3 linked regions of the Elephas maximus indicus genome follow. The protein of the gene in region 1 binds, or shares a complex with, the protein of each later gene. Links are inferred from orthologs where the notes say so. Each region holds a gene or a part of one and is shown on either strand. Other genes may lie near its edges.

Region 1 (8,195 bases):
TTCCAAGGGGGGCTGGTGCCCTCCCCATCCCGAAACCCAGGCAGGGGCTCACAGTGAGCAGGGGCCAGCTTTTGGGGCCAGGGGTAAGAGGTGGGTGGTGGGGCAGAGCTGCCTATTTTAGGAGTCTATAGGTCTATCTTTTCTAAGCACTGGGCACTCTCCAGGCCAGGATGACAATGTGTATTTATGTATCAAGATCAGACAGAGTAATATATAAATCACAACACCAGCTTGGCCTCCATTCTTGGGAAGGAAGCACATGGAAGAAACGTTGGAAACTTTATTTGTTAAAAAGAAAGGGAAAAAAAGCACTCCAAACTCCTGGGGTGAAGGGTGTGTTGGTGGGTCAGAAGGACAGGGAGAATGCACGGTAGCCCAGATTGGTGAAGACATCCACCCGGCAGCTGTTGCCTGCAGCTGTCAGGACCTGGAGACAAGAGGGGCATGAGGGCCCTGCCCAACCCCAGCGTCCCAGTATCCCATCCCTTCACTGGACCCACCTTGCACTCAGGAGCCGCTGGCTGCTGGTTGAGGCTGAGGCTGAGCAGCCCCGGGGAAGAGCCTGGTACCTGGGCCTTGAGCTCCCCGCTCAGCTGCCATTGGTTGACACAGGGGCCCTGGCCGGCAGATAGAATCTGTAGAGGGCAAGAGAGGGCTCAAGGGTCAGGGCTGGAGACGGGAGCCAGCAAGGGCGGCAGAAGGAGACAGAGAGCCTACCAGGTCCTGGTAGAAGGTGACGTGCTTCTGTGGCGCCCGCATGGGGAAGATGGTGGTGGGTGTAGAGGACCGCAGGTGCCAAAGGGTGAGTGCTGGGCCCCCTCCACAGACCTGGCCAGAAAGGCAGGGGTCCCCGGCCGCTGTGAGCCATGAACCCCTGAAAGCAGGGCCCAGAGCTGCCACCCATCCCACCCCACCCTCTGGCCAGCTCACCATCCAGTCTGAGTCGGTTGCCAAGCATCCGATCCAGCGCCCGTTGTGGGGCCTGGAGCACTCCTAGAGGGAGGAAGAAGAGAGTTGCGGATACAGAGAAGCTGGGGAAGAGCAAGGAGGATGGGGCTGGGGCATGGCCTCACCTCGTGCTTATAGACCTCGATTGTCTGTACCTCCTTGGCTGTGCGGAGGTCTGTGGAGAGAACCTTGAGGGGTGCCATCCTTGTCCCATCCTCCCCACCACCATCTCTCCCTCCAACCAGCCAGCCCCTTACCCCAAAGCCGCACGGCCCCATCCTCACCACCCGAAAGCACCTCGGGGCTCCGCTCCCGCAGCGCCAGGCAGTGGATGTAGTCCGTATGGCCCCGGAGGGCCCGCTGCGGGGAGAGGGGCTGTGTCAGGAGCAGGTCCAGAAAGCACCCCGCCCCCACGTGACCTGCCCCTGGCTCTCAGGCCCTGCTCACCGTGAAGGCCCCAGTCTCAAGGTCCATAGTGTGTAGCTGACAGTCTCCCCCAGCCAGGATAAGAGAATTCTCCTGCAAAGAAAGGCAGGGCAGGACTGGAAATCAATGACAAATCAGGACGGGGACAGGTGGAAGGACCAAAGTTTGGGCCAAGAACACAGCAGGGCGGAGCCCCCAATCACAAAGGACTTAGGGGGCCTCAGACCTTGGGGACGAGCAGCAAAGAATTGATTTCAGGCACTTCCAGGCTGGTCCTGGGGGAGGAAAAGCAAGGTCCGCTTTGGTTCAAGGGTGCCTACATACCCAAGTGCCTCCCCCCACGTGGCCCTGGCTCACCTGTATGGTGGCTGACAACGCCACAGCTCCTTGCTGCCCTTCATGGTAGAAAACGCCAAGTGACCTCTAAGGCTCTCCTTGGGCCTGGGCACCCAGCCTGTTCCCCAGGTCTACACTCCTTACCTTCTTGAGGATCTCTGCCCACAGCCAGGCCTTTACCTCCCCATCCCCGGCACTGACTAGCTGTCGATCGGTGGACACCATGCTGTAGACGGGCCCATCATGGGCTAAAGGGAAAGAACCTGAGCGACCCCATCTGGCCCCTTCCTCCACCCTGGGATCCCCAAAGCCAGACCTGACAGCTGCACCCACCTTGGAAGGTCACCACAGGCTTCTTACTTTCCTCTTTAGCCTCGGAGCTCAAAGCAGCGGACAAGCTGAAGTTGAGAAGGGAAAGGGGAGGGGGCCCAAGAGCCAGAAGCCGGGAGCATCAGTCCCAGGAAGGCCGAGTGCCAGGACTAGTGGGTGCAGGGGAACAGGGGCCATGGGTACCTGAAGATGGCAATCTGCCCGTAATTGTTGCCTGCCGCAAGGAACTTCCCACAGGGGGACACACTCTGGGAGAAGACAGTCATGTGCAGCCGCTGCAGGGCCTGAAACACCTCCATCTGGGAGGAGAGGTGGGATAAGAACCTGCAGACCTCTAGCCCTGCTACAGCCCAGCCCCCCACTGTCCAGACTTCTCAGCCCTCCTTCAAGGCAGCCCACCCCGCAGGCGCCTGCCCATACAACCCTGGGAGGCGCCAAGAAGAGGATGAGGAAAGGGAGAGCTCAGGTGTGCTACCTAATGGGACCTCGAGCCAGCTCCCTAGCTTCTCTACTCAGTTTCCTCAAGTATCAAGTGAACTCACTGGAGTTTGTGTCTCAATTAGATGCGCTAATGTATATAAACAGCATCGCAAAGGGTCTGCCATGTAAAAAGCGCTTAAGAAGTGGTTCTCTTGTCCCCAATACTTAAAAACGTGTTCACTTCTGGGGTACTCCTCTGGCTCCCGGTCTGAGTCCGATTTCCACTAGCAACCCACGCGCAACAGGGCTCGGGACATGATTCTTCGCCCGCCCGGTCGACCCGGGCCTGGAATACAAACCCCAGAATGCCCTGCGTCCCGTGCCTGCCTCACCTGACCCAGAGGAACCGCTTGTGGCACTACTCGCTCCATCTCGAGGACTACAAGTCCCAGAATGCTTCGTGAGACGCGGCTTCACGAGTCCGGACGTGCCCGCGACCAACTCGTCTGCGGCGCCCCACGTCCCAATACTGCCGCCGGTCCGGCGCGAAGGTGGTTTCCGCGTTCCGCCCCAAGCCCCACGAACCGAGATGAGCACCTTGAAGGCCGCGGCACTACGTGGCGCCCCCTGTAGCCCTGCTACGCCTGATCCCCTCCCCCACCCCGCTGAACAGACCCGCCTTCCAGCCGCGTGCCGCCCGTCTTCCGCGCCTGCGTGAATGCTCACTGCTGCGCGCGCCAAGGCCACGCCTCCCGCCGTGCCACGCCCCCCCAAGGCACCGCCCCTGTCGGGCGGATCCCTCCCCTTTGCTCGAAGGACGGGTAGCCCCAAAGATCCTGCCGCAGCCCCTAGAGCGTGGCCCCCGGGGTCGGACCCAGCGCGACCCCAGTGCTGCCTCAGGGGCGACCTGGAGCCTGGACGCGAGGTGCGTGTGAGGCCCCCGGGGTGGGCCTAGCCAGGGGGCTCAGGGCTGGTCTGCAGTATGACACATGGCGGGTGAGCTGGTGGAGCTTGGGCGTGAACTGAGACTGGAATGGGGCTGGGGGCTCAGGGCTGCTGGATGGCCCAGGAGAGGAGACGTGACTTAGGGGGTCAGCTAAGACAGGGATGGGGGCTGCTGGCTGAGGCTGCAGGCTCAGGCGGGCAGATCCTCTTGGCATGGGGCCAGGAGGGTGGGATGCACCTGGCTCTTGTCTCTTCTCAGCTTCCCTCTCCAAGCTGTGCCCATGAGCACCAAGCGGCGCCTGGAGGAGGTGCAGTGAGTTTGGAGGCAAGGAGGGACTCCCAACTAGACCTTGCCCACCTCTGACCCCCATCAGGCTGCCTCCCCTCTCCATATCCCAGCCAACCTGCCTTCCCTTCTTTCCCCAGGGAGACTTTGCACAAGCAGTTCTTGTCCGAGGAGAACATGGCCACCCACTTCTCTCAACTCAGACTGCACAACCACCACCCCTACTGCAGCCCTCTCAGGGCCTTACCTCCAGTCCTACCCCCACTCAGGTGGGCACCTTCCACCTGCCAGCCCCCTGGAGGATCACACTGGTCTTCAGCCCAGCCTCCAGGCCCTGCCTCATCCTGCTATTTTTAGCTTCTGGGTTGTTTCCCATCTTGACTCCTTGGAGGGTGGTGACCTGGATCTAGTGGGGGGTGGCTCTGCCAGGCCAGCCGAGCCCTGCCCTGTCATTTCCTCTTCCAGGAGCCCTTGCTCTGAGCTCCATCTGTGGTGCTACTCTGGGAACCTGATCCCTGAAGCCCTCCAGCTGCTGAGGCTGGGGGACACTCCATCCCCCACTACTCTGTTACCACAGCTGGGGACATAATGGAGCTCTGAGTACTGGTGGGTAATGTCCTGCCCACCTGCCTTTCTCCACACATAGGGGAGACCAGCACCAAGCTTCCCTGCTTCTCCTCCTCCACCAGACCAGGCCTCTGGGCATCAGGACCTTCCCCCCCACCAAGGAGGACACTGAGGACAGAGCCCTGAGTGGGAGGGCAGGAGGGGCAGGAGCTTGGGGAAGAAGGCATGCTACTGAGGAGCACTGAATAAAGACTGCTGAACAAGTGAAGGCTTCACTTGGGGCCTAGGGAGAGCTGGGGTGCCGGATGCGTGGCTTCTCCCTCAAGATATTCCCTGGAAAACAGTCTGGGCTTAGCCAGGCCCTGGCAGGCTGGGCTCAGGCATTGAGAATGTGTGAGTCAGAGCCTCGCCCCCACCCCCGCGGCTGCCTGACTCACTCCCTCCCTCCAGCCAGGGAAGTCGAGCTGGGACCCTGCCACTCTCCAAGCCATTTAAAGTTAAAAACTCTTTTATTAATAAATTCTCCCTCCCTCTCAAACTTTTTCCCCAAAATAAATATCTCCCCACTTTGGGGGCTAGTAGAGGCAGTGTGGTAGAGCCGGCCCCCCTAGAGGGCCAGCCCCTAGTGTTCAGAGCAGGTCCCTAACCCCCCAGGCTGAGACCCCTGTCAGCGTTTCAGCACATCTGAATGGGTGGGGCCTAGTGTTGTGTCTGCCCTTCAGGTCGGCCTGGCCCCCCAGGGCATGGGGGGTAGAGACCCCCTTGTGCAAATGCTGCAGTTCCTCAGTGTCAGTGGTCGATAGTGTGTGAGCTGGATGGGGCTCCTTTCTGTCCTGGAGCCTGAGACCAGGCAATGAGAGATACCTTGGAAGGCTCCCCAAAACCTCAGGCCTCAGAGATGATTCACCACCATCACCCCTCCGGGTGGCTGGCTGAGCCTGGCACAGGCTGAGTCTGGGAGGCAAGGGGTGGCTCCAGAATGAATGAATGAATGCGTGGGAGCACAGGCTGGCAGGGGGCGCTCACTGTCACTGGATCAGTGCCACACCTGGGCAGCCCTCCCCGCCAGTCTCCTCGATGGGGGCTGCAAGACAAGAGGGGTCACAGTGAGAAGGAGAAACTGAACAGTGACAGAGGCGGGCAGGCTGGGGCACACTTACTGGTAAACTTTTCTCTCCTGCGGCATCTTCTCCAGACCAGGAAGCCAGAAAGCAGCCCTACCACAAGGGCCAGGCTCAGGGCACCCCCCAGGATGGGCCAGAGCAGCGGGAAGGGGGCTGGAGGGGCTGTAGCACCTGGGGACAGGATGTGAAGTGAGACCTCACCCCCCAGATCTGAGCCTCATGCATTCCCCTTCCATTCACAGCTCTGATCAGAGCCCCTTCCCCACTCTCCCTCTTCCGGATTCTGCTCCAGATGGAAAGCCTACAGTCCCCTCTCCACCCCAGCATCCCTCTCTCCGGGTCCAGGGTCCACCGGGTCCGACCCCACCCCCACTCACAGCCCAGGCAGAAGTCGCTGCGTGGCCGCACGGGGCACGACGCACAGTCCATGCACTTGTCGAGGTCCGAGCTCCAGGAGGTGCCGCGGGGGCAGGGGGCAGCACCTGGGGAGGGGGCCTCGGGTCAGATGCTGGGGCGGGGCGCGGCTATTCTGGGGGCTGAGGTCAGGGTCGGCCGGCTCGAATGACTTGAGTCACCAGCGCCCTCCCCCGCATTCCTCACAGGTGACCGCACGGCCCGTCTGGGACACGGCAGTGGGATGTGGGAGAGAAGCGCCAGTCTCTAGGGGGGAGGGATCAGGTCCTCCACAACCTAGCCCCCACCCGTCGCTGGCGGGTGACTCACTCCCGGGCACCAGGCCCGACCCCGGCCCCTCCCCCCGCATAGCTGGGCACTTAAGTCACCGGACGGACGGAAGGGGGCACCCCACATGGCATAGGGGGCAAAGACGCCCGTGTCTCTCGGCATCTCCAATCTCGGGTCACTGGGGATGAGCAGACCCCATACTGTGCAGGCTGGGGGCGTGACCCGTTAGCAGATGAGACATCCCGCCCACAAACTTTTTTCTGCCCCCTCTTCGAGCCCCGACTTTCAGGAAGAAGCCCCCGACGTAGGCAGGAGGGAAAACTGAGGCCCGGACTGAGGATGAAGCTTAGAGCTGGATGGGATCTCCCCTAGCCAGGGAATGCGGTGCCTGGAGACCACCTGGCCCCGGACTCTCATGCCTGCTTCGTTCCCCTAGATTCGGCCCACATTTCCCAAGCCCCCAGACTCGGCACCCCTGCCCCCAGCCCTGGGTCCTCCCAGCCACGCGGCCCCCACATTTCCAAGCCGGGTACCGGCCCCGCGCCCGCGTACCTGGCGTCCGCTCCCCAGCCGCAGCGCACAACAGCGCCAGCCAGAGTCCCAGCACGAGAAGCCGCAGCAGCGGACGCAGCGGGCCAAGAGCCATGGTGCGCGCGTCCACAAACCGCCGCCGTCTGCTCCCTCTGCCAGCCTGCTGCTGGAGGCAGCGCGTCCTCGCCTCGCCCCCGCCTTCCGGGGCGGAGCCTCCTCCCACCCCGCCCCGCTCCTCACAGCGCCCAGCCAGTCTCCCAGCGCCCCGCCTTGCAAACTGGCTAAGGTCTGTCATTCGTTCAACAAACACTAGCTCTGCGCCCAGGACCCTGCAGGGTCGCAGAGGCGGGCCTGCCCTCTCGGTACCAAGTCCAGAGGGGGACGGCCATCAGAGAGACACGAAACAGCTCTCATCGCAGAGATGGTGGCAACTTTCTTAAGGGCCCCAGAGGCTTAACAATAACAACAGAACAAAAATAATCCCTAACATTCATTGAGAGTTTACCGCGTGCCGCTTAACCGCACCTTAGGAAGCAGTAGCATATTAAAATGCAGGCTTGTTTTTTCCATTTTGCAAAGTAGAAAACTGAGGTTTGGGAAGGTTAGGTGTGAATTGCCGAGGTCACAGCGGTAGGAAGTGGCGGAGTCGAGAGGCCAGCTCCGTTTGGCTCCAGGTCTCGCGCCCTCACCCACCGCGGGCCGCAAGTCACCAGCTGGACTGCGTGCTGTGCCCGGTCTCGAGTGCCGCCTTCTGACTAGGGTGGGATTCGCGCGTCGGGCGCGGTTTGGGCCGGGCTCTCTGCCCCTCCCCGGGGGCGAGGGGCAAGTGACGTCACGACCGCCTTAAGACCCCTCTCGCCTCCGCCCCATCGAACATTCTGCCACCTCCTACGAACCATTCTGTAGTTCTCTGCAGGTGTGCCGAGGGTAAGTTGGGGGGGTACCGGGAAGAAGACGCACCGAGGGGCCTGGGTGCAGGGTTCGTGGCAGCATGAGTGAAGTGCGTGTGGACAACCCGGGCTGCGCTCCTTGCGGTGAGACCCTGGGTTTGGGGCTGCGCCGCAGCCGCCGAGTAGGTTGGGTCCTTTGGCGGCTCCGGAGGGCTTAAACACCCCTCCCCCTCCCCAGGCACCGACAAAGGCACCGAAACCCCTGGCGCCCCTCCCCCATCTGCGCTGCCTCTCAGGGGCGGGAATCCCCTCCCCCTCACCTGAGGGAGCGGACCCTGCCCCTGGCGTCGCCATTAAACTCCTCCAGGACGCGCGGTCCCCAGCTGGGGCCGGCCCAGAAGCCGGGCACCCTCCTTCAGGGCTGAGGGCGGGCTGGGGCGCGCGGACTGAGCCGAACCGGGAAGGTATGGAAAGCACATGGCGCGCTCAGGGGTGGCTAGGCCGGCGCAGTCCGTCCCTAACCTGGGGCTAGGATGGCGCGGCCACACCCGGTCACCTTCCCTGGGGCCGGGGTGGGGAGGCCATGGAGAAGCGAATCCAGAGCCTACCCTCCAGCCATACGGCTAGGGCCGCGCTATGTTTGGGTCCGAGACGTGTGGGAAAACCTGTTGAACCCTAAAGCTGACCCCCTGTGGCCGTCTCCACCAG
Region 2 (7,248 bases), on another chromosome or scaffold:
CTGGGGAAGGATGGGGACACCTGATCTGAGACATCTGAGCTGCCCCCTGAGACTGTGAAGGGGCTGATTGTCCTCCCAGGGCCAAGGGAAAGAGGCCCCCCTGGCTTGACAGGCTCCTCACCCCAGCCCTCTCCTCAATAGGCCCCTCCATTCTCCTCTCCCAGCCCCTTGAACTCAAAGGACCGCTCACCTTTAGCCCTTTATCTCCTCCAACACACACCATCCCCCATTCCCCCTGCTCCCACTGTCCCCACAGTGAGCAGGCTGGGCCTGGGGAGAGGGGTGATGAAAAGCAGCAGGGACAACAAGGCCCTACAGGTCTCCTTGCCCCTTTATGGAAGCCCTGGCTCTAGGGATAAAGGGTTAAGGCTCCCTTCCCACCACTCACCTGATGAAGGGGCTGATTCTACAGTGAAGTGAGAGGAGCCAAACTAGAGGTAATGGGAGGCATACCCCAGGGAAGCCAAAATGACATATTCAGGAGATAATGGAGTTGAGGCACCAAAAGGGTTCCCTAGGTTGCTGACAGGAAGCTCAGGGGCGGTGAGATCCTCCCCCAAGAAGTCTTGGGCCACTCACTCTGGCTGCTACCCCTCCATTCAGGCTCACTGAGGGCACCAGACTAACTCCTTGCTAGGGTTGGGGAGTGGAGTCAAGGTTGTGGAGAGGACCCCAGCCCACCACCTCCTACAAAAGAACTTGGCTGTGCTGCGCAGGCAATGCCCAGGATAAAAATAGAGCCTGGCCACATCCTGTGACCATTCCTGCCTGCCCCACCCTCCTCAGTCTCTGCCCAGGCAGCCAGGACCCACTGCAGCAGTCCTCTGCAGGACTTCAGAGCCAACCCAGCTCCATCTGCTCTATCTCCATGCCCAAACCCTGACTCCATCTGGTCTGGATTTAGGTCTGTTTGGGTTTTCCCCACATTGTAAAATCTCAAGGAAAGATAAATAGGTGTGGGGATCTGATCTCGTGGCTATTCTGGCCTCGGACCAGGCCTGAGGCCAGAACTCCCCTCACCCCAGCCCCAGACACCCTAGGCTTGGTCCCCAGCTCACTTCCATCTTGGGGGGTAGGTGAGCTGCCGAAATGGGCTCTGAGCTGGAGACTGCAATGGAGACCCTCATCAACGTGTTCCACGCCCACTCGGGCAAGGAGGGGGACAAGTACAAGCTGAGCAAGAAGGAGCTGAAAGAGCTGCTGCAGACTGAGCTCTCCGGCTTCCTGGACGTGAGCAAAGAGTGGGGGTACAGGGTGGAGTGGGCAAGGAGTGGGCACCTTTCTGCCATCTACTCATCCTACTCCCAGGTCAGCCCAACCATCTCTCTGCTCTCCCAGGCTCCTCTCCTGCGTTTTTCCAGGCTCCCCTGCTTTTCCTGGTTCAAGTCCAAATGCCCTGGTTTACTGAGCACCTGCTAAGTGCTAGGCCCTGTGTAGATCCATCAGCAACAAAGCTCACAGCCTAGAAGGGAAAGACTGACACTTGAAAGTTAACCATGAACTACGGGAAATATACGGAGCCTTAACAGGGGTCCCAAAAAGGTTTGTGGCAGAATATTAACCTGATTAGAGTGAGCCAGCTTCTCCAGACAGGTGACACTTGAGCCATGGATTTCCACTGGTAGATAAGTGGGGTAAATGTAGACAGCAGGTAACAGCATGAACAAAAGCATGGGAGACAGAAGAAGAATAGGGAACCTGCTCAGTAGTTTGACTGGAGTGCAACATACAGATAATTAGGCCGCAGATGCTAACAGGGGTCAGTAGTAAAGAAGAAGCCACAGGCACAGTAGAAAGTGCACAGGCTTTGAGGTTTGATTAGATCTAGGTTCAAATTCTAACCCCACCACTTTCTAGCTTTGTGACTTTGGGCACATTACTTAACCACTGACTGACAATTTTTTTCTTCTAAAATAGGAATAATGAAACTTACCTCATATTATTTTTCTTAAGATTTAAATCAGATAATGCGTGTAAACTCCTAGTGTATTGCTTGGCTCATTGTAGGCACTCAACGTTTGGTAATTTCTGCTAATACTATTTCTCTGCCATGTTAAGGAGCTTATTCTCTAGGCAACCAGTTCATAAATGTTTGTTACTTTTGAGGAGGGGAGCAGAGGAGCTCCATTGGATGTAGCTCTCCCTCTTGCTCACCTCTGTCTCCTTCTCCCCAATCAACTATTCCCTTAACACTGACTCAGTGCTAGGCCCCTATACTCCTTGTACACCTGCCCCTTCCTTTCCTCCCTTGGCAGGCCCAGAAGGATGCCGACGCTGTGGACAAGGTGATGAAGGAGCTAGATGAGAATGGAGACGGGGAGGTGGACTTCCAGGAGTATGTGGTGCTGGTGGCTGCCCTCACTGTGGCCTGTAACAACTTCTTCTGGGAGAGCAGCTGAGCAGGCAGCCCCAGTGAGCAGCGCCCTTCCCCTCTACAGTGCCGGACCTGCCCATTCACCCCACTTTCCCCTCACCCCACTTTTCCCTCCCCACATTCCCCATTCCCCATCAAGGGCGCAAGAGTAGCAGGTCAGGCCTGCAACTCCTCTCTCATTAAAGGCTTCTCTCTCGCCAGCCATCTGCTGTCTGTCTCCTCTGGGGTCCAGAAGTGGGTGGAGAAGTAAAGACTGCTCACTCAGGACTAGCCTTATTTGGGGAGGAGCCTTACTTGGGGAAGGGTCTTATTCGGAAAGAGGTCACTTGCATTACATCCTCCTACTTGAGGAATGCTCAAGGCCCAGCAATGTGGGGTTTTAGGGTTCCAGCTGTTAAGTGGAAGAGACATCAGCTTCTTGGCTATAAAGCCAGAAAAAGAATCTCCATTCAACATTAACCAGTATTTACTAAGGACCTACCAATGTGCTTAAGGAGGTGGCACAGCTACGGTTGCTAACCAAAAGGTCGGCAGTTCGAATCTGATTGGAAACCCTATGGGGCAATTCTACTCTGTCCTATAGGGTCCCTATGGTCGTGGTTTTTTTTAGGGAGTCCCTGGGTGGCATAAAGGTTAAAGCGCTTGACTACCAACTGAAAGGATAAAGATTAGAGTCCACTCAGAGGTGCCTCAAAAGAAAGTCCTGCTGATCTGCTTCTGAAAAATCAGCCATTGAAAACCTGTGGAGCACAGTTCTACTCTGACACACATGGGGTCGCCATGAGTCAGAAGGACTCAAGGCAACTGGTAACTGGTACCATGTGCCAGACATTGTGTAGGAACTTAGGATACAGCAGTGAACAAAACAAACACCATCCTTACTCTCACATGGCTAAAGTCCAGCAAGGATACCGGGCCATTAAAACACATACACACAAGTGCTAGGAAGAGAAATAAAAGAATCTGATGCATAAGTAAGGTGGAGGAAGGGTTGAAGATGTGTTCATTCACTCATGTCTCAAATATCTGAGCACTCTGTTGTGTATCCAGACATAAAAAAAGTCCCTTTATAGAACTGTGTCAAAATTCACATGGCTGGCAGGTGGAGAGGGAGGACATGAAAGGGTGAGCAGGGACGCAAAGATCTCCCCAAATAAGGACTAAGCAATATTCGGGCCAAATTGGGGACGGAAAGAAGTGGAGAGGTTAATACGGACGGGAAGCGGTGAATGGCGCAGGAACCGGGAAAGTGTTCTCAACTCCCAAAATAGGGAGAATGGGGTTGAGCGGACAGCCCGGCTCCGTGATCTGCAAGAGGTGGAGTAAAATTCCGCGGAAAGATTTTTAGACGGTCAGACTTAGACGGTCTATCTTAGGAGGGAAGGAGTAAACAAGGGGATACGAAAACATTTTTCTTCGAGACTGAATCCGTCTCAGTGGCCCTGACTACGAAGGACTCCAGGGGTCTACAGCTCCTAAACCGAGGCGCCTCCAACGTGAAGGCCCCGTCAAGCCTCAACACTAGGGCCATTGGCCACGCCCCTCCGCGGTCGGAGCGCTTGGTGTAACACAAACAGGGCCTTTTACTAAAGCTCCGCCTCCTCCCTGCGGCTCCGCCCCTCAGCCTCGTGCCCAAGTAGCAAAAGTCTTTCCCGCCCCCTAGTTGTGCGTGGATCTGACGCCTGACGTAATAGCGTCGACGCCATTTTAGCCGGCCCCACTCCGCACGGGGCGTGGTGGCCATTTTGTTTTGGACGTCGAGCGGGACACGGCGGCGTCGGCGGCGGCAGCGGCAGCGGCAGCGGCAGCTGTGGTGGCATAGACGAAAAGAAGGAAAAGGCAGGCTGGGTGAGCAGGCGGACTGGCCAAACAGCCCGCAAACAACAACGAGCTAGCCTAGCAGTCTATCGATTACGCATCTAACCAACCGCCCACCAAGTTACCCCGAGCCCCCCACCGTCAACTCAGGTTCGGCCGGTCCCCGGCCCGCTTGCCGCAGCCGTGGTGGCAGCCCCGGGAGGAGCACTGGCGTCCGTTTCTTTTGGTGCGTTTCTGCAGTGAGGAGGGGGAGAGTCTTGGGGAACGGAAGGAGCTGGCGGTCGCGAAGTGGGGGGTGGTGGCATGTGGAAGCCGACCGGGTGTTGGAGTGAGGACGCCCCCGAGAGGGGGCGGAGCCCGGGAGGAGGAGGTGGGGAGAGGCTCAACTGGAAACTGGTGGCGGGATTGATGGGGGATAACAGGGAAAAAAGGAGAATTGTTTGGCGAGTTGAGCAAAGCTGGCTGTCTTCCCCAGGTTTTGAGATGGTAGAGAGGCTAAGTGAGGGCTGTGGGACTTTGGCTTGAAAATTAACGGTGGCTTTAGCGTTACATTCTGTAGAGAGCTCTCTGGGAGCTAGCTCTCAGGTGAATGCCTATTTAGGAAGCCTTTTCTACTCCATCGTCAAGCTCCCCAATCCCTTGCTAAGGCCACTACTCGATTTTAACGTCGAAAGCCAGTTTTGAAGCCAAGTATGCCTGTTTTTTCTCCAGATCAATGCTTCTCAACTTTAGACGCGCATTAGAGGCACCTGGCTAACATTCCTCCCCCCATTGCTGATCCCCAGCCCCACCCCCACCGATTGTGGTTAATTGGTCTGTGCCTAGGTTTCTATAGTTTTAAAAGCTCCCTGGGTAAGTCATATGTTGCCATACACTACCAGTTGAGAACTGATCTAGATTAAAAGCCAAGCTGTTAACACCCCTTTTTGCCATCTTTGGTTCTGCTACCATTTTTGAGACTTTGGCTGATATTTTATGTTCTGTGGGCTTCAAATTTTAATAGTTTGAAGTAATTACCTTAAAAACTTAAGCAACTGAAATGTGTTTTCATGTGATCTTCAATAGTCAGTGGTGAAGGTCTTTCCATTTGTTGTTGGTTCGGGCCTTGGCCCTTGTAGAAAGAGGTCGTTGTTATTCCAATTTGCTCATTTTGTCCATTATCCTTTGTAGATTCTCGGGATTTGAAGATGGCTGCACAGTCAGCTCCGAAAGTTGTGCTAAAAAGCACCACCAAGATGTCTCTAAATGAGCGGTGAGGCAGCCAACAGCAACTTCAGCTCGTTCATAAGAAAACATTACTTAAATTGGCCCTGGGATCCAATGCACAAAAACGGTTTTAAAATAACTAAATACCAACAGAAGGCTACAGACTTCTGTTCTTAGTTGCATCTTAATATGGTACACACATTGGGCGGTTGTTTCAAAACCCCTTTTTCAGTAGATTTTTATGTTAAGCTGTCTGAAACATTTATCTGGTGGGATGTATTTTAAAAAGACTCCTCACACCCTCCCTCTCTTCACATTTTTTTTTTACGTTGATACAGGGGTGGTGCAGCACGGTAGCATGGTACCCTGGCTGCAGAAGGCTTGCTGCCCAGTCCAAGGCCAGCAGTGTTGCGTCTGGCCTGTAAGAGGCAGGTAGCAAGCCATGAATCTGTCCAAAGGCCCTTGAATATCATTCTTGGGCCTTGTAAGAGGCACTTGCTTTGCTCCATTTCACTTTCTTCCCATTCTGCTTTTAGTTTGTTTTTGTTTTGGATTCTTTTACAGTTGTGTTCTTCTCTTTCGTGCCATTCATCTTACCTTAACAGAAATAATAGAGTGTCTTCCCAAGCTCTGAAATGATTGAACTAATTTAACTTTCTCATAAGTAATTATTTGGAGTCAGGGAAAGTGTCCATTTGAGGTTAAGAAAAGTTTAGGTATTTAAAGTAGCTTTTGTCTCTGAGAGCTCTGTTCATTGAGGGCCTTTGGCCAAAAAATTTATTAAGTTGATGTTAGACTGCTAGGAGATTTGTCTGTCTGTTTTTGTCTTTTTGAAGCATATGTGCTGCTTCTCTAGCCCCTTTGGTATGATATACTTACTAGCTGTCCATATTAGCAAGCTACTGAGTAAACAAAACATAAGAAAATGTGATGCAGTCCTGTAATATATATGGATGTACTATTTCCGTAGTCCCTGGGTGGTGCAAACAATTAAGGCACTTGGCTGCTAATAGGTTGGTGGTTTGAGGCCGCCGCCCCCCTGAGGTGCCTCAGAAGAAAGGGCTGGCAGTCTGCTTCCCAAAAAGCAGCCATTGAAACCACCGTGGACTACAGTTCGACTCTGACATACATGGAGTCCCCATAAGTCAAAATTGACTCAGCAACTGGTAGTAGTTCCATGGGCTTTGAAGGTGCTCTAGTCACTCCTTGTATTTGCCCTTGGAATGCACTCTGAGGTTCCCCAAGGTTTTGGTTATCTTTGTTTGTCTTTGAAACTACATCTTCTGTCTCTTGTTATCATATCTGCTTATTGCGTGTTTTTCATACCTTCCATTTCTCTAAAAGCTGTTACCTGAGCCCTTGTTATCACTTTTGATTGAATGTGCTGCACTTAGCTACATTTCTAAGTTTCTGATTCTTGCAAGTTTGTGGAAACAGAGGAGTCTTTAACCCACATCAGCCTTGATCTAAAGTGTACCACTTTACTTAAAGTTCGTGGGATCTGGAGCTCCTGGTCTAGCAAGCCATGAAAATGCCAATAAATGTTTTGTAATAAAGCTTTTATTTAAACATCCATTTTGTTCGACCTTGAAGCTTTACTAATATGCTGAAGAACAAACAGCCGATGCCAGTGAATATTCGGGCTTCGATGCAGCAACAACAGCAGCTAGCCAGTGCCAGAAACAGAAGACTGGCCCAGCAGATGGAGAATAGACCCTCTGTCCAGGCAGCATTAAAACTTAAGCAGGTGAGAGAATGGGTCTTAATGCTCCAGAAGCAGCTGGTGATCTCTGTCAGGCAGAGCCCTGAGGCTGTCAGGACGTGATGGATGATTTACAAGGTGGCTCAGG
Region 3 (7,788 bases), on another chromosome or scaffold:
ATGCATATAACAAAGGTCAGCCTTCTCTAAAACAGCCCCCACCCAAACAAGGGCCTAAGAATAAGGCCTATACCAACAATCTCTGCAATACACACATGGCAAAAGCCCATATTCAGTGTCTGTCCATATCTATAACACTTTTCAGCATCCCACTAAATAGTACCTGCCATGATCAGGGCCCACACAAATTGTAATAGTTAATATTTATTGAGCTTTTACTATGTGCTGGGGACTGTTGTAAGCATGTATTACCACCTGTCATCTGATTTTATCCTCACAATAGTCCCATGAAATTGGTGCCATTAAGGGGAGCATATGATTTCCCACTCCCGATGTATCCTTCTCGGTGGGGGCGGGGCCCTGCTCCACAGACTAATACTACTTGCCTCTCTCCCTTCACTCTCTGCCTCCTTAATTTCTCCACTGTTCCTCCAACTCCCCTCTTTAGGAGCTGTGACTTACGTGATGGGTCCCTTTGGAAGAAGAAACTGGTCATGTGTAGCCTGGCCCCCTACCTTTCTACTTCATCATGGGAAGAGAACAGATGTTCTGCTCAGTTCTATTAATGCTGTCAGTTTTTATAAGGGTAACCTATGCCCCTGTGGGGTCAGGGGGAGGCTTGCCCTGGTTCAGTGCTGCATGTGACTGAGTGGGTCAGTCTGATTTTGGAGTTTAAGTATTAGAAGGCTGTACTAAGTAAGGTGCAAAGTGGGCAAATCCCATCCTTGTTGCCAGTTGTACTAAGTAAGGGGCAAATCCCACCTTCATTGCCAGTTGAGTGTTAAGAATCAGCATGAAACCAATCCCCAAAATGTGGAGACTGATATAGTCTACACCTTCCTACTTCTCCATCCTCATCACCAGCCTTCCAAGTGGTACTCTCTCTCTCCAACCCTACCCACCCAGAGCTGGGTCAGAGCTCACAAGTTAGATGGACACCATCCTTTAGACTGCCAAATAGGCAGACGCCAGCCTCTGCTGGCTTTCACTGCCCCTTTGGGTTGATAATATTCTGGAATGACTCACAGAATATTGCAGAAAGTATACCATACTTATGACTACACATTTATTACAACCAAAAATGATACAAATGAAGAGGCACGTAGGGTGAGGTCTGGGAGGGGTCCCAGCATGGAGCTTCCACACCCCAAAGGGACACACTACCCTCCTGAGAGCAGATGTTCTTACCAACCAGGAAGTCCACTTGAGCCTTAGGGCTCAGGGCTTTTATCAGTCTCACCATGTGGTCATGATACATTACGCCTCTAGAGGTTAGTCAACATCAGGCCGCCAGGTGGTCCTTCTTGCTCTGGTTAGCCCCCACTCATTAGTCTCAGTTGTCCTCCAGCTCTCAGGAACTGAGAACAAAGGTGAAATTGCCTTATGCACCTCATAGAGGCCCAATCGATTACAGATTTAACCGTATTCTACTAGCTGCCTCCCCCTTTCTTCTTTTTTTAAAATTTGATTTAGAAATTTGGGCAAGAAAGAAAAGTGTAAGTCATTGGGCTCCCTTCAATCCTATTCGATAAGGGAAGAAACAGAAGCATAGAGAAGTTGATTAACTTTCCCAAAGTCACATAGCTAAGTGGAAGAACTTGGGTTCAAGCTCAGGCACAATAGAGGTAAGATTGTCAGCTCTGGAGCCAGACTGCTTGGGTTTGAAGTGGGAGAGAAGAGGAAAATTAAATGGTAGGGAGAGAAACAACGAAAAGCTTAGAGGAGATAGTGAGAATCCTTATAATCTGGGCCCTGTTCAAACCTAGCAGACAGATAGTGTTAACATGTCCCAGTTTTCAAACTATGGCCATATCTGCCCTGTGACTCTGACAAACCTCTCCCTCACAGGCATCTGGACCACTACCTCTTCCCACACTGCCTCTTCTGTGAGATTCCAATTCCAACCTGAAGACCTAACTATACTACCTGACACAGATGATTGAAGGACCTTTTTCTCACCAGACGAGCAGTTCAGTCAAGGTAGAGCCAAGTTGATTGGTTTGGCATAAACAGCCTTAGCATAAAATGCAGAAGCTATTAGGTACCTTATTCCAAGGAACTTAAGTCGGGATCTTGGAAAACCTTTTGTATTCATTCTTTTATTATTTTACTTATTTTGCCTTGGTTTATTTTTATGTGCCTATTTCTTGGTTCCATTATCTATTCTCACTGAGATGGTAAGTGAAATGATTGCTTGACCTTACCATCACCCAAAACCAATCTATGACTACATGCATCAGACTATCAACATTGATACTAACCAGTCCCTAGCCATCACCACAGATCTCAGTCCCTGCCTAGCAGATTGCTACCTTTGAGCCAGTTAGGTCACCAGGGAACAGTACTCCCAGGTGCCAAGACAATACCAGACACTGATAGCAAAGAACAGGTAAGCCAACAACAAGGATGTAAAAGATACAGTAGCTTCGCAATCTTATTGAGCAAGAAGCCAATTAGCCCTGAGGAATTCCTAAAGGAATTGTCATAGCATGTAAAAATAGTTTTGTGGCCTCTGGGAGAAAGGAAAACCAAGGTCTGTGTACTTCAAAAGCCTCAAAGGGCACCACTGCACTTAGCTCATACCACATTTACGGCATACTGCATAGTATTCATACTGTACAGTTCAGTACTTGTAAGAAGAAATCACTGCGACATAGTGGCAAAGTAAGCCACAATACAGCAGAATACTGTAGATCAGTGGTTCTCAACAGGGGACCTTTTGCCCTCCAGGAGACATTTGGCAATGTCTGGAGACATTGTTGGTTGTATCAACTAGTGTGTGTATGGGGGTGCTACTGACAACTAGTAGGTTGAGGACAGGGATGTGGCTAACATTGAAGGCAACTGACAACAACATGGAAACCCTGGTGTCATAGTGGTTAAGAGCTATGGCTGCTAATCAAAAGATCAGCAGTCCGAATCTACCAAGTGCTCCTTGGAAGCTCTATGGGGCAGTTCTACTCTGTCCTATAGTGTCACAAGGAGTCGGAATCGACTCCATGGCAACGGGTTTGGTTTTTTTTTTTTTTTAACAACGTGGTGCCCTGGTGGCACAGTGGTTAAGAGCTCGGCTGCTAACCAAAAGGTCTGCAGTTTGAATCCACCGGGTGCTCTCCTTGGAAAGCCTACGGGGCAGTTCTACTCTGCTGAAATCCACTCAGTTGGCAGCAGGTTGTATTTTTGGAACAACAGCATATATATATCTACATGAAATATTTCATTTTGAAACAAATGTTGACATAACATGAAATGTTGTTTTGAAACAAACATTAACTTTTATTTTGAATTAACATTTTAAAACTTTTTATTTTAAAAGTTGCTAAAATAGTACAGAGGATTCCATATGCCCTTTGATTCTTCAAACGTGAACATTTTACCACAGTTGCTTTACTTGCTATGAGTTATTTTTCTGAAACATTTTGCAGTAAGTTGCAAAACAACGCCGCACTATTTCGAAACATCTCAGGGAGAATTTTCTTACAGCAAAGACTTTCTCTTACATAACTACTGTACATGTATTAAAATCGGAAATTAACATTGATACGATACTATTACCTAGTCTACAGCTATTCTAATTTGGTCAGTTAAAAATAGTGCTTTTTCCGTCCAGGACTAGTGGTCCTACCTCTTTTCTATTAATCTGGACGAGTTCCTCAATCTTTCTTTGTCTTTCATGACTTTGATAATTTTGAAGAGTGGATACAAATTATTTTGTAGACCGTTCCTAAATTTGAGTTTGTCCGATGTTTCCTCAGGATCAGATTTAGGTTATGCAAAGTTTTGGCACTAATACTGCAAAATCGATCAGCGTTTTTCTTAGTGCCTCATCAGGAGGCGCTTGATGTCCATTTGTCTCATTTCTGGGGCTGCTTACTTTCCTCAGTTAGGACGGCGTCCACCATGTTTTTCCATTGTAAAGCTTCTATTTCACGCTTTGAAATAGTAACTATCTTTTGGGAATATACTTTGAGACTACGTAAATATTCAGTTTCTCATCTTACTTGCGCTCCCTAGTTCTGCGTAAGGTTACAATAGTGATAGACAGAGTAGGGTTTCAGAATACGTAGCTCCTTGTGTTTCCCAGGGCCGATTTCTGGATCCCTCCCTTGCATTAGCATAATGCCTGGCGCGCAGTGAATGCCCGCCCCCTACCCGACTAGTTTCTTTTTATCTCAGCCCTGAGCAGAGTGTATTGTAATTTATGTCTGTCTCTCACACAAACTATGAACTCGTCGAGGGCAGGCATCGTGGCCTACTGTTTCTCAATACCAAAGTATAGCACGCATACAATACATGCTAGACACTGGAGATACAAGCAGATAAATTACAGTCGAATTTGAACAGTCGCCTGTAGATACTATGGAACCTAAGAGTTACAAGTCAGACTGGGGACGGCACGTTTCCTGTTCTAAAGAGAAGCGAGGGTGGCGGAGGGCACGTGTGATACAGTTACTTTGCGAAGGGGCCCACGGCTCGCGCGCGGCCTCACCGTTGACCGGCGGGCCTCTCACTCACGCGGAGTTAGGAGGAAGGTGGGGCGGGAAATCGAAAACCGAACTCTCAGCTCCCGGCATTCCTCGTAGGCGGTGCTCCCCTTTGACCCCTCGCTCGCGTGCTACACATCCGGGCTTTTGCTACTAGTGAGGGGAAGATGGCGGCCGCAACTGTGGTGGTTCCCGCAGAGTGGATAAAGAACTGGGAGAAATCAGGGAGAGGCGAATTGTGAGTGTCCAGGCCGGAGGCAGGCGCCCGTCTAGGCCGGGCCCGGGCGGCGGCCGCCCTCTCTTGTGTGGCGGGAGGTTGGGGAGAAAGATGCGCCCCCTCCCCCATCAGGGCGGCGGGCGTGGACGGTTGTCTGGGAGTTTCGAACTCAGGGAGAAGAGGTGCTCGTAACCGCCGCCGACCTCCTTCCTTCCCTGGCCTCCGTAAAGTCCCTGCTTCCTGCGGTAGCCCCGGCTTCCTTTAGCCTCTTCGTAGAACTCCGTTTCGCCCCCGCGGGTCCCTGCGCTCCTGCTCGGTCTCTTTTTGTCCCCTTCTTCGCTTGAGCTCACTTGGCTCCTTTCTCTTTACGGGGCCGCCGGGGGGGGGTTCGGACTCTCCACCTCTCTCTGTCCCATTTCTTCACTTTGCACCCGTTCGACTCCGCAGTTGGGAGCCCGGAACCTCCTCTGCCCGAAGTCCGAGGAGGGCGAACCGTCCCGGACTCCCTCCCCTCCTCTCCGCCCGCCGCCGCGAAGCCCCGGGCATCGCGAAGAGCCCCGCTTGGCACCTCTCGTCCTCCCGGGGAGCGATCTCTCGGATTGTCCCGGCCTCGCGCGGCGCCGCGGCCGTGGGGAAGTGTGGCAGGGATTGCCTCTTTCCTCGAAGACCTACCGGCATTTCTTTGCTCGTCTTTTCACCTTAGAGCCTTTTCGGGTTGGATTCAACTGTCGTCATTAAATGTTTCCTAAACCCCATTTTGTCCTGGGACTTCAACTAATTTTGGCAACTTTCCAAGCTTCTCGAGTACCTAGGATAACGCGTTTCCTTTAGCCATAAAACTTAATTTTTCCCCCAGTAACACCGAAAACAGTTATTTGCCGTTCTCGCGGTTTCCTCGCCCAAATTTTCAGCTCGCTCGCTCTTTCCCTCCCCCCACCTTGTGAAAAAAATACCGTTTAAGCAGCAAAAGAAACCACAGGTTTAAAAACAACTTAGTTCTAATTTCCTTCACTGAATTGCTTTAGAAGCTAAAGCTGAACCCTCTATGAGCTGAATGCTTGCTAGCCCTTTTTGTCGTCGTTGCCCCCATCCTCCCTTCCAGTAGCTTGTTTAAGGTTGCTGGTGTGAAAAGATAAGAATCTTTGGAACTTCATTTCTCGGAAGGAAATGCGGGGAACGCGTTGCTGGATCTTACGGGTGTAATATTGCCCGCCCCAATGGCCCACCGCCCCTCCTACGCGCACGGCCACGAAGTCTTAACAGTGGAGCCCTAGAGTTGGATTGCCTGAGTAAGCGGCCGTTTTAGCCTCTTAACTGGCTGAGTGACCTTGGTTAAGTTCCTTAACCACTTTGACTGTTTTCCCTTGAATAAACTGGGAATAATAGTACTCTATTCAGAAGAGCATTGTGAAGACTAAAGGATAATCCTCGTAAAGCGCTTGGCATATAGTAAGTGCCATAGTGATAGCTATTAATAGTAATATTTCAACCTATAGATGTTTCAACTTAGCGGGACAGCCCTTGCGCTTAAAGTCTGTAGCACTCAGTTCGCAGTTAATTGGTCTTTGACTTTTTATGTGTATTTATTTCTGTTCTCCAACGAATTGAGAGGCCCTTGAAGAGTAGGGACTGTGTCTCATATTTCTTTTGATTCTGCCCCTTCCCTCCTGCCAGCCCTTCTGGCACGTGCTTGGAGTGCTTATTGGTTTATTAACGGTAAAAAAAAAAAAATCCGTTGCCGTCGAGTCCATTCCGACTCATAGCGACCCTATAGGACGGAGTAGAACTGCCCCATAACGTTTCCAAGGAGTGCCTAGTGGATTCGAACTGCTGACCTTTCGGTTAGCAGCTGTAGCCCTTAATCACTGTGCCACCAGGGTTTCCTATTAACGGATAGAGAAGTCTATTTGATAAACATTCATTTTGAACTGTCATGAACATTGTCCAGATTCTTACACAGCCAGTCAACAATTATCTGTTAAGTCCCCTGTGTGCATGCAGGGAAGACTGGATGATCATCATCTGTATTAGATTAGGATAACCCAAAAGATTGATAAATCACTTCCTTGTTTTGTTAGGAGCCCTGGGGCACAGTGGTTAAAGCGCTTGGCTGCTAACTGAAAGGTCAGCGGTTCCAACTCACTAGCCACTCCAAGGGAGAAAGGTGAGGCAGTCTGCTTCTGTAAAGATTACAACCTTGGAAACCCCATGGGGCAGTTCTGCTCTTTCCTATAGGGTCTGTGAGTAGGAATCGACTTGCTGGCAGTGGGTTTGGTTTTCTGTCTGTTTTGTTTACTTTTAAAGCCAACTTATTTATTCAGGGGTTGTCATCTTTGGAGATTGCTCAACTTTCTCCTTCCTGCTGTTTTTGACAGTTTTACTATTATTGCTCCCACCTTAGAATGAGTGGTATGGGCTAGGAAGTAAAATCAAGAGCCTTCTGTTTGGCTTCTAACTGGCAGTGGTTGGGGAAAAACAAAATGATGTTGGGAGTTAAAATACCTAGCCAGAATGGAATTTTGAATTCATTTTATGTATATTTACACGCTCCATGATATCTGTCATAGCTCCTGAGTTTGAAGAGCTGCTTCAGAATTGTTACGAGGACTTACATGTATATAGTTATTGCATGGCTTGTGGAATGTGGTTTGAATTATACTAGATCCAAATCAGTATAGTCAGTTTTGTAATTGAATTCTGTTATATAAAGTGTCTGAAGTTAACTGTGTAACATAATGGAATATTTTAAATAGTCAATCATTTCACCACTTGATACTTAGTTTTCATATATTTGATTCCTTTTCCCGCTATAAAAACTTTGTTGCATATAGCCTAATTTGGGACTTCTTGTCATCTTACTAAAGATAGATGTTAGCAATTTCATTAGACAGAACAAATTATGTTGTAAATATATTACAAAAAAATCTTTCCTTTGTCTGAAAACAGCCTCTTTTAAGTGTAAAACAGCAAATGAAAATGTTAAAAACAAAGGTAGTGTGTCACCAAATTAGAATTGAGTCCATTTATAGTTCTGGCTCTTAAGAGTATGACCAATATTTAAAATTGGATCTTTGATGGATCTTTCCT

Evidence for each region. Proteins that work in one complex are often made in the same cells at the same time.
Region 2: THOC6 (region 1) and CHTOP share a complex: the UniProt entries of both Homo sapiens proteins name them as parts of the transcription/export (TREX) complex. The link is inferred for Elephas maximus indicus from reciprocal best matches to the Homo sapiens genes THOC6 and CHTOP.
Region 3: THOC6 (region 1) and THOC2 share a complex: the UniProt entries of both Homo sapiens proteins name them as parts of the transcription/export (TREX) complex. The link is inferred for Elephas maximus indicus from reciprocal best matches to the Homo sapiens genes THOC6 and THOC2.

The regions. Positions count from the first base shown.
Region 1 is NC_064830.1:60,084,731-60,092,925, reverse strand, and holds THOC6 (THO complex subunit 6 homolog), read right to left. Parts: upstream 3,095-8,195; 5' UTR 2,892-3,094; coding exon 2,853-2,891; intron 2,340-2,852; coding exon 2,224-2,339; intron 2,109-2,223; coding exon 2,044-2,108; intron 1,959-2,043; coding exon 1,855-1,958; intron 1,770-1,854; coding exon 1,732-1,769; intron 1,650-1,731; coding exon 1,601-1,649; intron 1,468-1,600; coding exon 1,396-1,467; intron 1,309-1,395; coding exon 1,206-1,308; intron 1,124-1,205; coding exon 1,074-1,123; intron 994-1,073; coding exon 931-993; intron 829-930; coding exon 718-828; intron 636-717; coding exon 501-635; intron 428-500; coding exon 347-427; 3' UTR 267-346; downstream 1-266. Other genes in the region: TNFRSF12A (tumor necrosis factor receptor superfamily member 12A), read right to left, coding at 5,360-5,553, 5,760-5,864, 6,619-6,712. UniProt on the Homo sapiens protein: Component of the THO subcomplex of the TREX complex which is thought to couple mRNA transcription, processing and nuclear export, and which specifically associates with spliced mRNA and not with unspliced pre-mRNA.
Region 2 is NC_064821.1:191,476,996-191,484,243, forward strand, and holds the start of CHTOP (chromatin target of PRMT1 protein), read left to right. Parts: upstream 1-4,096; 5' UTR 4,097-4,418; intron 4,419-5,362; 5' UTR 5,363-5,379; coding exon 5,380-5,444; intron 5,445-6,991; coding exon 6,992-7,145; intron 7,146-7,248. Other genes in the region: S100A1 (protein S100-A1), read left to right, coding at 1,090-1,230, 2,256-2,399. UniProt on the Homo sapiens protein: Plays an important role in the ligand-dependent activation of estrogen receptor target genes. May play a role in the silencing of fetal globin genes.
Region 3 is NC_064846.1:32,891,561-32,899,348, forward strand, and holds the start of THOC2 (THO complex subunit 2), read left to right. Parts: upstream 1-4,636; 5' UTR 4,637-4,651; coding exon 4,652-4,722; intron 4,723-7,788. UniProt on the Homo sapiens protein: Component of the THO subcomplex of the TREX complex which is thought to couple mRNA transcription, processing and nuclear export, and which specifically associates with spliced mRNA and not with unspliced pre-mRNA.